Linked DNA regions of Oreochromis niloticus. The protein of the gene in region 1 purifies or fractionates together with the protein of each later gene. This does not show direct contact. Links are inferred from orthologs where the notes say so. Each region holds a gene or a part of one and is shown on either strand. Other genes may lie near its edges.

Region 1 (3,755 bases):
CAAAATATCATTGGGAATTTAAAATATGGAATCCATGACATCCATGTATATCTTTTATATACAGTGGTGGTATCTGGCTCTTTCCTTAACTAGCAGAATACACTGTGTAAGTATACAGTATAGAGTACACTATGCTCAATTGCTAGTAATAAACTTGCTCTTTCTGTCTTCATCATTTGTGCGTGAGTACGTGCCAAATGTGTAATCAACAGTGCAAAGCAAGCAAATCCATTAATGAAAAAGAATTAGCTATGAAGTTAAGCGCCCTGTCAAAATGGTAGGCACACAGACTTCCCTCCGAGTGACAGCACCAGGGGAGGTCATACAGGATGTACAAAGACTCGCTGAAAGTTAGTGACCGGTGACATATCATCAAAGCAGAGACTAGGGCCTGTGACCTCTCAGGTCAAGAACACAGACAAGAGAATGAGGATTCATTATTTTTAATTGGGGCAACCAGAGGTGGAAATTGTACTAAAAAAAATTCTCAAAGAGGACAAGTTACAAAATGAAAGGCAGTGTGATCTGAGCAGGATGCTCATCAATCAGTGATGCTTGGTTTGCTTCTCCTGACACTGACCGAGAAGTGACAGAAATTAACGGTGAGCAAATATTCCAAAGTGGGCGTAGAAGTAAAGAAACTACTACGTCAAGCACTACTGTGATCAAAATATGTTAAGATAAAATGAAATCTTTGAAAGTGGGACAATCTGTGATTAGTGATATTTGCACATATTCCTTTTCTTAACACTTTATCCCATTTATAATAACCTAACATGCCTAATGTTACCTGGAGGGTTCAGACTCTGTAATATCGCCCTTGAAAGTTGCATTTAGCTGCTTCTCTCTGGTTAGCAGGTCATCAATGAGGTTCTGCCTTCTGTCAGCTTCGGGCTGCATTCTGATGAGGCCATGATAAGGTTACACAAAACATTCACAATGCTTTAACCACTTTTGATGAGCAGGGACAACTTATGTTTCTAAAACTTAAGCATGTTGCATTAGTAAGGTCACTTTCTAAACACTCTAATGCCCCCTATTGGAACACCTCTGCCAATGTAAGCAAAGTGGGCTTTTCACACTTCTAAACTAAAGGATACATGCGGCGAGATGAGGATGCCCGCAACAAGCCCTCCTTGAGCTGAGCGATATTTTGTTTCAGCTTCTGAAGTGAAGCCCGTAGCGTCATGTTTATCTGAAAAGACAGAAGATTAGCTCGCTAATACAAAAGGAATGTGAAGGCAATACTACTGTAATTGTAAGAGGCTACCTTTGCAGGGTTCCCCCCCGTTCTCTGTTGTCTGTTCCGTTCATGGATGTTTTCAGCTATTTCCTGTGCCAAGCGGCAAGTGGCATCATAATTTTGTAACCTGCAAATGAAAAATGAGAATTAAAATGCCATGTAACTTGAACTGCAACATCATCAAGTAGCCAAAGATGAAGTAGTAAAACTAAGATTCAGTGCATGAATCTGCATTCTAATATAATGATGGATAATATTTTCATACATTTAATTTTTATAATACTTTTCATTACAAGTAAACTTGGTGTGTTTAACATAAAAGATAAAAAAGATTATGTTTTGTGTCATAGTTGTATTACTCCAAAACCAAAATGAATTTAACCTTTCCATCAACATTCTCACAGTGTAATAAATGTTGCTTGGCTGAGAAGTCATTCGCAAATCGTTTTGGGTCCCTGCATCAGTATTGCACAGAATTCTTTTCCGCGCACTAGACTAAAAAGATGTTACCTTTTACACAAATGGAAGAACTGCATATGCGTATAACAGATACTCAGGAGACGCGGGCCGTTCCATCAGTGATAAATACCTCTACTTTTGACTTGACACAAAAGGATGTGGAATTTTGCATATTTGTCACACTCAAGTTTCAGATCCCTAAACAGATGCACCGTATTTTAGTTTTGGGCAACTTCTTGTCTGAACTTTGTTTCTGTGTAGGTTGTAGCAAGCGAAAGATAAATAAATAAATCAAATTTCTAAAACTTGAAATATATGTTTTGAAAACCCACAATGATCATGAAAATAATGATTAACGCATAAAACTATGCAAACTGAAAATTAACTTATTGAACAACGGATCAAGTGAACGACTTTAGATGGTGTATTGCCTAATCGAAAGCATGAGCTACATGGCTATCAGAATAATTGTTATTTAATATTATTATTTAGTATTACTGTAGCCAAATTGGGGTAAAGCGTCAGAAACATAGCACAAGCTTTGGTTTTATCTTGTGACATTTTTAGCATTCCTCTTCCCCCATTCTCTAACGCTATTTGATTTGCTGTTATAAGTAGACCCAACAACAACAACAACAACAACAACAACAACGACGACGACAACAACGACAACAAATTGTTTTGAAATCCGAATCCAAAACCACCAAGCTACTTCCCGACACACGAAGCGGTTACTTTCTAATCACTAAACAAAAATACATGTTATTTTATTTGGCTAATCATCATAGCTACCACTTTCGCTAGCTAGATTCAAAGTAGTTACAAGGCGTAGAAATAATATTTGTTGTCCTTAAAAATACATCTGAGTCATTTTACTTTTCCATTCAAGACAATGACTTACCAGGCATCCTGAGACATTATGCTAAAAGTCAGCTATTAAGCCAAGTTTGAACCAACTATCCGGCTGTAATCACTAGCAGCCTGTTTCTTGTTTTGACAAGACGTCACTACGGTAGGCGACAGAGACAAACTTCCCACGACCTCTACAGAGCGCGCATTGTAATAACATAATGCTGCCCTCTGTGGGTTAGGATTTGCTGTTAATTTTTGACTCACGGGTCAGTTAAAGTGTAGAAATTTCAGGGCTGCTCGACTAACTAGTTGAGGATTTCACACGGAAAAAAACACTTCAGGCAGAAATAAAGACTCATGGGAAAGCCTTAGACGTGGATGACCTACAGTAAGATATAATTTAATATAATTATTAGATGTGATCTCAATTTTCCAAATTAAAAAAAAACATCTGGATGTGTGCCTATGACTTTTAGAGTGAGCTGCCTCGGCCTAGTCAAAACAACATTATGTTTCTCACCAGCCTCTCTCTCCTTTGACTAAGTGCCTATTCCTCTTTCCAACGTTTCCCTGTTGAATCTCTGTTTTTTCCTTGCAAGTGCTGATTGATTCACTATTGTTCTAGTAGAGTTCTCAGTTAATCATAGCTTCCTTGACAGAAATGCCTTATCCAACTTATCATAAATGTAGTAGTTCTTTTATTCATTAGAACAATAGAACAGATCATTGTGTTTATAATCTATCAGACTAGATCCAGCTGCTTTATTACAAAAGAGGAGTGAAATCCTTATTCTTACTTATAAATTCCCAATAATCCTCAAAAAGACACTCCAAAGAAGCTGCATGTAGGAAGACTTAAATTGAGCTTGAACAATAGGAGATAGCCTTTTTTTTTTACATGTATTAAAGTGATACCATTTAAAAAGTTGTGCTGAAAGGAATATATCTTACATTCTTAACATCCAAACAATACTTAGATGCTGACTCATACATTATACCCATATTATATAAAGACTATTATCATGGCTTGATAAATCATATTTAAGATGTCTCTATCAGTTCCCCATTAATTATTTAATGAAGAAAATAGTTGTTTTAATTCATTCATTTATTTTTATTTAGCTTTTCATACAGTCAAACACCAAGAAATGGGAAGATCTTGACACAGCAACAATATATAAAGATTTGAAGGATACCTTTC
Region 2 (3,755 bases), on another chromosome or scaffold:
GATCCTTTAAAGCCTGCACCTTGTCCTTAGGCTCTGGCATTTCTTCTATTCCTCCGCGCTCCTGGTATAGAGAAGGGTCATTAAAGAACAGTTAGCTGCAATCCCTTTGCAGAAACCATTTTCTATTTTTAACAATGTAAAAAAAAAACAAAAAAAAAAAAACAAACCCAACAACCCTCCCCAAAAATACAGGGCCTCCTTGGATAACAGAAAACCACCAAAGCATGATGTTTAAAGACATCATCCCCCCCCGACACACACACACGCACACAAAATAGCGTTGGCATGAACTGCCTACAAGCAGAGCAATTCAAAAAATAAAAAGTATCAGCTGGGTGAACAGTGAAGTCTGCTCATCAATCAAGCATATGCTGCATGTAGCACTACTTTGTTCTCTTGCTTCAAGTCATAGACATTAAATGGGTGCAATTTTGAGATAGAAACTATGATATATCCTGTGATACTGATGCTTAGTTTGTTAAAGAAAAAAAAATGTTAACCTGGTTTAGCGTCAGTTTTAACAAAACCAAAATGTGTCCTTCGGCCCTGAAAACTTCAGGTAGCTATCTCCTGTACTTGTGCTTTGAGACCTCAAAAATGTCAGAGTGACTGTCTGAATATCAAAGGTTCTACTTCTTTTGCAAACCTGTCTCAGGAAAATCTCTAAAGACTCACAGAAGTGCACAGCTAAATTGCAAAAATATCCCTTTATAAGTCTTTGATGAGGCCCGGCCTCTTCATGTTTTATTGGACATGACTATCTCCACATGATTGAGTCTGCAAGTGACAAAGCAGCATATAATGTAAATATGTCCTTTTGACCCGTTTGTAACCACAGTATTTATTTACAAGCCCTTGAGCTGCACCTTGTGGCTGTCAACTGACCACTTTTATACATCTGTGAAGGTCTGCTAAGAGCCTGTGTGCATTCAAGAGAAACGTCAGCTGTTACCTCACATAGCTGTACATGTGATTTCAACGCAGAAATGCTGTGTGCAGTTGGGGGTGTGTCAGTAAACATGCAGGGACCACTCCGTCCCATGAGTCAGCAACAGACTGTAACAAAACTGTCTCTAGGAAACAGGGCAGGTTCTCCTGCGTCATGTGTCTCTCGCCTCTCCTGTTACCCCGCCCTCCCTTCTTTTCCTCCTTTTCCATTCATCCTTTTTCAGAAGAATTTTCTGAAAAAAAACCCAAACTCTGGAGTCATCTTTAATTTTCTTTTTCTTGTTATATCTTCATTACATGTGTTTAATCTCTCTCATTCCTCTGTACCAGTGCTAGGACGTCAGTCACTCAGGCCCACCGAATGGCTGATGCCTATCAAGTATCAATAAACAGAAAGTAAAGTGTCCAAGGCAGCTGCAGAAGGCGGCTACATTAAGAATCCAATTCAAATATTTGATATGTTGTAAGCTGAGTGACTTCAGTCTCTCTTTATAAATTGACAGATAAGGGGTCTTGTAAATATGTGATTGGTGCATGAGGAAAATGATCAAGGAAGTACACCTTAAAATGTTCCAACAGATATTTCCTGTTAAAATGTTTGACTGCAGCTGTAAATCCAAAACATTTATTCAAACACTGAATCCTTACTGCTCACACTGATATAGGCAAATTGGAAACTGCCCTAATCTGTGAGGACACACATTGAGATTTGAATACTACAGGAAGTAAGATTTTCCTGCAGGCTAGAAGGAAACGTTTTTATTTTAGGTCGACAATGTTGAGTCATTACAGATATTTAAAGAACTGCCTGGACGTTCTTAACTGTTCAGCAGAATAAACAGCACTGACTGCCAACAGATTATAATTAGTTCATTATGTGGCCTTTTGTGTTATTAGTTAACAAAAAAAGAAACAAAAAAAGTCTTCATAGCAGCCATTTCTACATTAAAGTAGGCAAAGAAATATGTTGCAAGGCACGCGCGCGCGCGCGCACACACACATATACATATGCCTCTTTTGTGCCAACATTAAATAATGTTAAAACATGACAGCAGTAAACCTAATTTAGCACGTAATAAACGCCACTTCAGCTGCTCTACCTGTAAAAGTTTATTTTTCCCCTTTACTAATAAAATAATTGTAATAATAATAATAATAATAATTTTAAAAAGTGTTGCCCAGTGGATAATATCTATTTTGTAAGGTAAGTTAGCATTAAACTGCTACTTGCTCAAGCAGAGCTTGGCTACAGGCGAATGGCTCCACCAACGACCTGTGAAACATTCTTCAAATACGTGAAAAACAACCGTTTATCAGTTAGTAACATGTATTATAAATAGATAGTAGTAAATGGAAACATTTACTTGAAGTATGCGGCTTTATTTTATGGAAAACAAACGCATCTCAACTTTACAAAAATCATTTCCAACACGTACTGAGTACTGTGTGTAATTAGGCCATTTTTTTTAAGCTGCTTTACTTACTGCTTTACTCCCTCAAAAATGAAAAAGTTAGTGCGCCGACTTAAGTTATTTTCAGTCGAGGTAGGTTTCAAGTTAAGTACAAGTTGATTTATGTGGAAGAACACCTGTTTGAGACTGTCGCTGAACAAACTGGTGACGGCGGGGAGGCTTTCTGAACAACATAAACAAAGGTCATTATCACCTACCGGATCAGTGTCCATCTTGCTGGAAAAAATGTCCTCTATCCGCAAACCGAAGGATCTACTTTCTTTAAAAGTTGACGATTTGATTTAAAACCTTTTAAAACCAGTTTAAAGTCTCGAAGCAAATACGTTTCTCCCTGTTTTACTTCCTGGTTGTTTTTTTCCTCCCTTAATTGCCTTCTTCCAACTGTTAAGTGAACGACAACTCCGTTTCCGCCCTTTGGTTTCCAAAATAAAGCAACCTAACGTTTTAGGCTACAGTGGTTGGGTAAACATTAAAGAAAAAAAGTTTATATAAACAAATATGTCTCCTTTAATTTTTACACAGTAATATTCGTCATTATATTTTATATACTCGTATTCAGATATTGATTTTCACTACCTGTAAAAGTACTGTAATGATTTTGAAGCGAATCAAACTTTCATTGTAGACCTACGTGCTTTTATTTTGCAGGTGCATACGTTTACTTCCTTTATTGTCTCCAAAAACACCTGTAGGCGGCAGTCCCTCTTCTATTGTTAAAGAAGGCGTCATACCAAGATGTACCCATGATATGCTGGCGGTGAAACTTTCCGAGAACTTTGTGTTCAGGATGGCTGACAAACTTGCTTTCTAACTTAGCATAACTGTAAAGTAACCCAATGCATTTTTGATAGTAAACGAGGATGTACATATTTGTATACGGGGTTTTTTTTTTAAGTTTCAAGGGGGACAACAGTGAAACTGGAGAGCAGCACTCTTAAAGATTAGCAGCAGTGGCCTCAGCTCAGTTACTCCTCCCTCTCCTGGTGTCACAAATTTCAGCCAGCTAGCAGCTTGAGCCCTGACAAACCGGTTTCTTTGTCTGGTGAAACTGGTGACGAAGATTGAATATTGGTCATTGCATGCCCTTATGTCATGACTGCTGCAAGCTGCTTTGAATCAGAAGCAGCTAAAAATAATCAAAGGCATTACGTCAATTTGGGAAAACTGTTTGAAAGTCATTGTTTAAGTGTGCTGAAATACTGCCTGTTCATTCTCAAAGAACAAAAAATGTGGGGTAGCATGTTTTGGAATTAATTTCTCCATCAGATTTTAGAAAAAAAGCTTTTATTTCTGTTCACAATGTACATTTTTTGTGTGCTGTTGAGTAGTTAAATT
Region 3 (3,755 bases), on another chromosome or scaffold:
TTTGACTTCTAAGCATCCCGGAAACGATACAGAAAAGCATAAAGTCAAACATGACTTTTAAAAACACCAACGTAGGCTATAAAAAGTAAAAAAACTACATTTTCCGCGAAAATGACGTCACTTCCGGTTTCGGTCAGGTAATGGCGGACATGCGATAGTTCGCGCTGACAAATATATTCCAACTAGGAAGTGTTATGAACAGCTGATCGGATCGGCAAAGCGTGTTTCCGGAATATTGTTTTTGTTGCTGCAAGTCTGGAATATTATGTTTTTGTTGCTGGAAGTGCTTTTTATGCAATTTTTGCAAAGCTATATGTGGAAGGAAACCGTGACCTAGGGCAAGCTAATGGAATAACATGTAAGTACAACTCCTACGGTTTCATATGCAAAAAAAAATTATTGCGCTACCTTACGTGGTTCCAGTTCTACAGGGATTTAAAAATAGTTAGGCAAAACGGAGTGTGCCTGTTCCGACCGGTTGTAAAGGGTTAATGATATATTTTATGTAATAATTTATGAAATTAGGGTTAGAAACGACAGAAACGATAGAAGACAAATGGCACGATAGAAACTTTTCTATCGTCCACACGATATATATCGTCATATCGCACAGCACTAATAGCAGGTCTCAATACCTTCTCTTTCCTTTTACTCTTGCTGTTGTCCATCTATCACAAATAAACCCTGACACTATTCCACCTCTCCTGTACTCCTTTCTTAACTTTTCTTGTGCACTGTGCATTGCTTTTATTTAAACTCATCCATCTTAACTGTTACATCTGTCTCCCTCTTATTCACACACGTATTCTCTCTTGTCTATTGACTTTCACTCCTCTTCTTTCTAGTGCATACCTCAACTTCAGGACCTCTTATACCTGCTCCCTACTGTAACTGCAGGTCAAAATGTCATCTGCGAACATGAAAGTCCACAGAGGCTCCTGCCTGACTTCATCTATCAACCTGTCCATTATCACTGCAAACAAGAAGGAACTCAGACCTGATGCTTGATGTAATCCCACCTCAAACCCATCTGTAACTCCTACTATGGACCTCACGCTAGGGCTGCTCAATTAATCAAATTTTAATCTAGATTACGATCTGGGCTTTCAACGATCATTAAAAATGACTGAGCCGATTATTAGCACCTCCCTCGTGCTTTACTCTCGCGCTGCTCCGTGTGGCAAATCGAGCACACCTCTCTGCGTTTCAAACACGTGTCACAACAATTAAGAAGACCCGAGGGAAGCTCGGAAAGCTAAGCAGAAGTTATTTGGAGAGGAGAGGATAACGGCTGCTGAAGAAAGAATGCCGTTGGTTGAAAAGAGAGGTAAAACGACTTCAGTGGTGTGGAAACATTATGGGTTCGCGGAGTCAGACGTGGATCAAATATTGTGCAGTTTTTTGAAGTTCACTAAACATAGATGTTTACATTTTTCATTTATTTTTTATATTGCAAACATTTGCACTAATCAGTATTTGCACACTATTTTATACTATTTTTTGACAATCTTTAAAGCCATTATTCAATACATTGTTATTGTTAAATAAATATCGTCAAATAATCAAGATCTCAATTTCAGTGAAAATAATCGTGATTATCATTTTTGCCATAATTGAGCAGCCCTACCTCATGCACTGTCCTTATTTTGCACCTTTGTGCAGGACAGCACGCACGGATGAACCAGAGTACACCATCTACAGCTGCATCCAGGACTGTGTTCTGAAGATCAATGAGAACATTTTTGAAACTCCTAACCTTTTGCTGGAAAAGCCGTCCACTGAAGGTTACATTGCTCTAATCCAAGTACCTTCAGTGACTGCTGTTGTGATTTAACGCTATATAAATAAAAGTGAATGGAATGTGAAGAGCTAAATAAATAGTCAACCAAAGACACGCTTTTAAATATTTTTTAAGTCAATACCAGGAAAAAGTTATTAGTCCATCATATTAGTTACTAGGCCCTTGCTAACATATTAAGAAACGTATGCTTTCAAACTTGCTGGTATCAAAAGGCTGAATTATTTTTAAACTGGCTAAAACTGAAATCCACAGTAAAACTAAAAACTACACTCACCAAAAGTGTCACTGAAAGCTGCTGTGATATCAGTGCCATTCCAAAACTTAACTTTTCCAATGATGGTTGTCCACAAAAACATCCATAGGTTTTTCTTTATGGTAAGTATTGGCAAGAATCTCATACACTGAATCTCATACACTAAATCACTATGATAACACTAAAAGATTACTTCAGTTGAATAGTTTCAATTAATATTAACCTACTCATTAAAGTGATTTGAAGCTTCTATCCTCTTCTGAACACCATAAACAGAGTTAGGATGTTCTTTAACACTATTTTCACACCGGCTAAACCGATCAAAGACATACCAAGATAAGAAGACGGCCACATATACATGACACATTCTTTTTATATAACAAGAACTCTTTACATATAGCTGTGTTTCACCACTAGTTTGACCAATATTTGGATGAAATCACATTATCGCTACCGTTAGCTGCCTTGTCAGCTGAGACTAGAGCTAGCAAGCCAGATGAGGTTTAACAGCTTATAAATGTAACTCTCTTACCTCCACTTAGTTTGGGAATTCGGCCAATTTTATTAGTTATTTCTGCTGTAATTGTTCCAAAGTCCTGCTCGTATGCTTCAAAGTCTGAAGACATTCTGGTAGTCGAGTTTACAACAGGTAAGTAGCTTTCTGGTTGACAGTTAGCTCGGAATAACAACAAGCCTCGAATGGAGCTTCTTCCTTGAGTCACAGCATAATGTGCTCGGTAAGGAACTTGACTTTGTTTTCACGTTTTCGACACTGAAAAAGGTTCGAAAGGTGGACAGAAAATGCTATTAATTTCAGCCCGAATTTGAATGCATGAATAATTCTTGTAGTTCTGTGCCGTTTCGGTGATAGACTACTACTTGGATTAAAAGGTATCTACAAGTGGTTCAGGGTAGTAGTTTCTGAGACACCATGAGGAAGGTTCCTCACTGTACACAGGAAAATTTTATGAAAAAAAAATAAGGAAGTGACCAGGTTGGTGATTTAAAGTGACAGCCTTTTGTTTCTATTTATTAAAAACAAAGCATTTGTCATTTAGGTTATCTTTGTTTTCTATTTGCCCCTCGTGGTAAGTGTTCAGCATGCTACGTTATTAGTGTTTATGCTGGTGACTAGGCTAGCTATCTAACGATAACTGCTCAACCCACGGTGCTAACGGAAACACAATTTTAGAGCTAAAGGCATAAACTTATCACTTGTCTGTTTGTTTTTTTAAAGCGGAGTTGTCTAACGCATAGTTTTCTGTCCATTACTGTGCAGTGATGGATAGAAGACTTGCATATAAATCGTAATTATTTTTCTTTTTTTGGCGAGAATTAGCTAGCTTGGTAACACAAGCTAATTAGTCAATGAAGCAAATGCTATGGTTCTGCTTTTAGTATGGTAATTTAATACTAATACAAATCCAGCACTGTCTACGTTAGTGTGGCATGTTTTATTGCCGTTTCTGTACTTGCTTTTAAGTCATTAGCTAAAAATGTTAGTCATGGTTGTTCAGTATTTTTATTGCAACTACCGAGGAGTTGTTTCTTTTTTTAAAGCATGAATAACATCTTTTTCAATAGCAGTATGATCTAAATTGTGTTGTGAAAGAGTATTTTGCACATTTGTCACATTTACATGTTTCAGATAATCAAACAAATCTTAACATTAGACAAAGATAACACGAGTAAATGCAAAAT

What was found.
Region 2: the proteins of stx8 (region 1) and vamp8 purify together in Homo sapiens (co-immunoprecipitation; 5 studies listed by BioGRID and IntAct, with this or other methods). This does not show direct contact. The link is inferred for Oreochromis niloticus from reciprocal best matches to the Homo sapiens genes STX8 and VAMP8.
Region 3: the proteins of stx8 (region 1) and vti1a purify together in Homo sapiens (affinity purification with mass spectrometry; 3 studies listed by BioGRID and IntAct, with this or other methods). This does not show direct contact. The link is inferred for Oreochromis niloticus from reciprocal best matches to the Homo sapiens genes STX8 and VTI1A.

What each region holds. Positions count from the first base shown.
Region 1 is NC_031971.2:26,236,365-26,240,119, reverse strand, and holds the start of stx8 (syntaxin-8), read right to left. Parts: upstream 2,760-3,755; 5' UTR 2,621-2,759; coding exon 2,604-2,620; intron 1,371-2,603; coding exon 1,271-1,370; intron 1,196-1,270; coding exon 1,101-1,195; intron 902-1,100; coding exon 791-901; intron 1-790. Other genes in the region: TBC1 domain family member 24, read left to right, coding at 2,933-2,942. UniProt on the Homo sapiens protein: Vesicle trafficking protein that functions in the early secretory pathway, possibly by mediating retrograde transport from cis-Golgi membranes to the ER.
Region 2 is NC_031977.2:6,109,845-6,113,599, reverse strand, and holds the start of vamp8 (vesicle-associated membrane protein 8), read right to left. Parts: upstream 2,823-3,755; 5' UTR 2,633-2,822; coding exon 2,618-2,632; intron 62-2,617; coding exon 1-61. UniProt on the Homo sapiens protein: SNAREs, soluble N-ethylmaleimide-sensitive factor-attachment protein receptors, are essential proteins for fusion of cellular membranes.
Region 3 is NC_031973.2:13,245,496-13,249,250, reverse strand, and holds the start of vti1a (vesicle transport through interaction with t-SNAREs homolog 1A), read right to left. Parts: upstream 2,721-3,755; 5' UTR 2,681-2,720; coding exon 2,587-2,680; intron 1-2,586. UniProt on the Homo sapiens protein: V-SNARE that mediates vesicle transport pathways through interactions with t-SNAREs on the target membrane. These interactions are proposed to mediate aspects of the specificity of vesicle trafficking and to promote fusion of the lipid bilayers.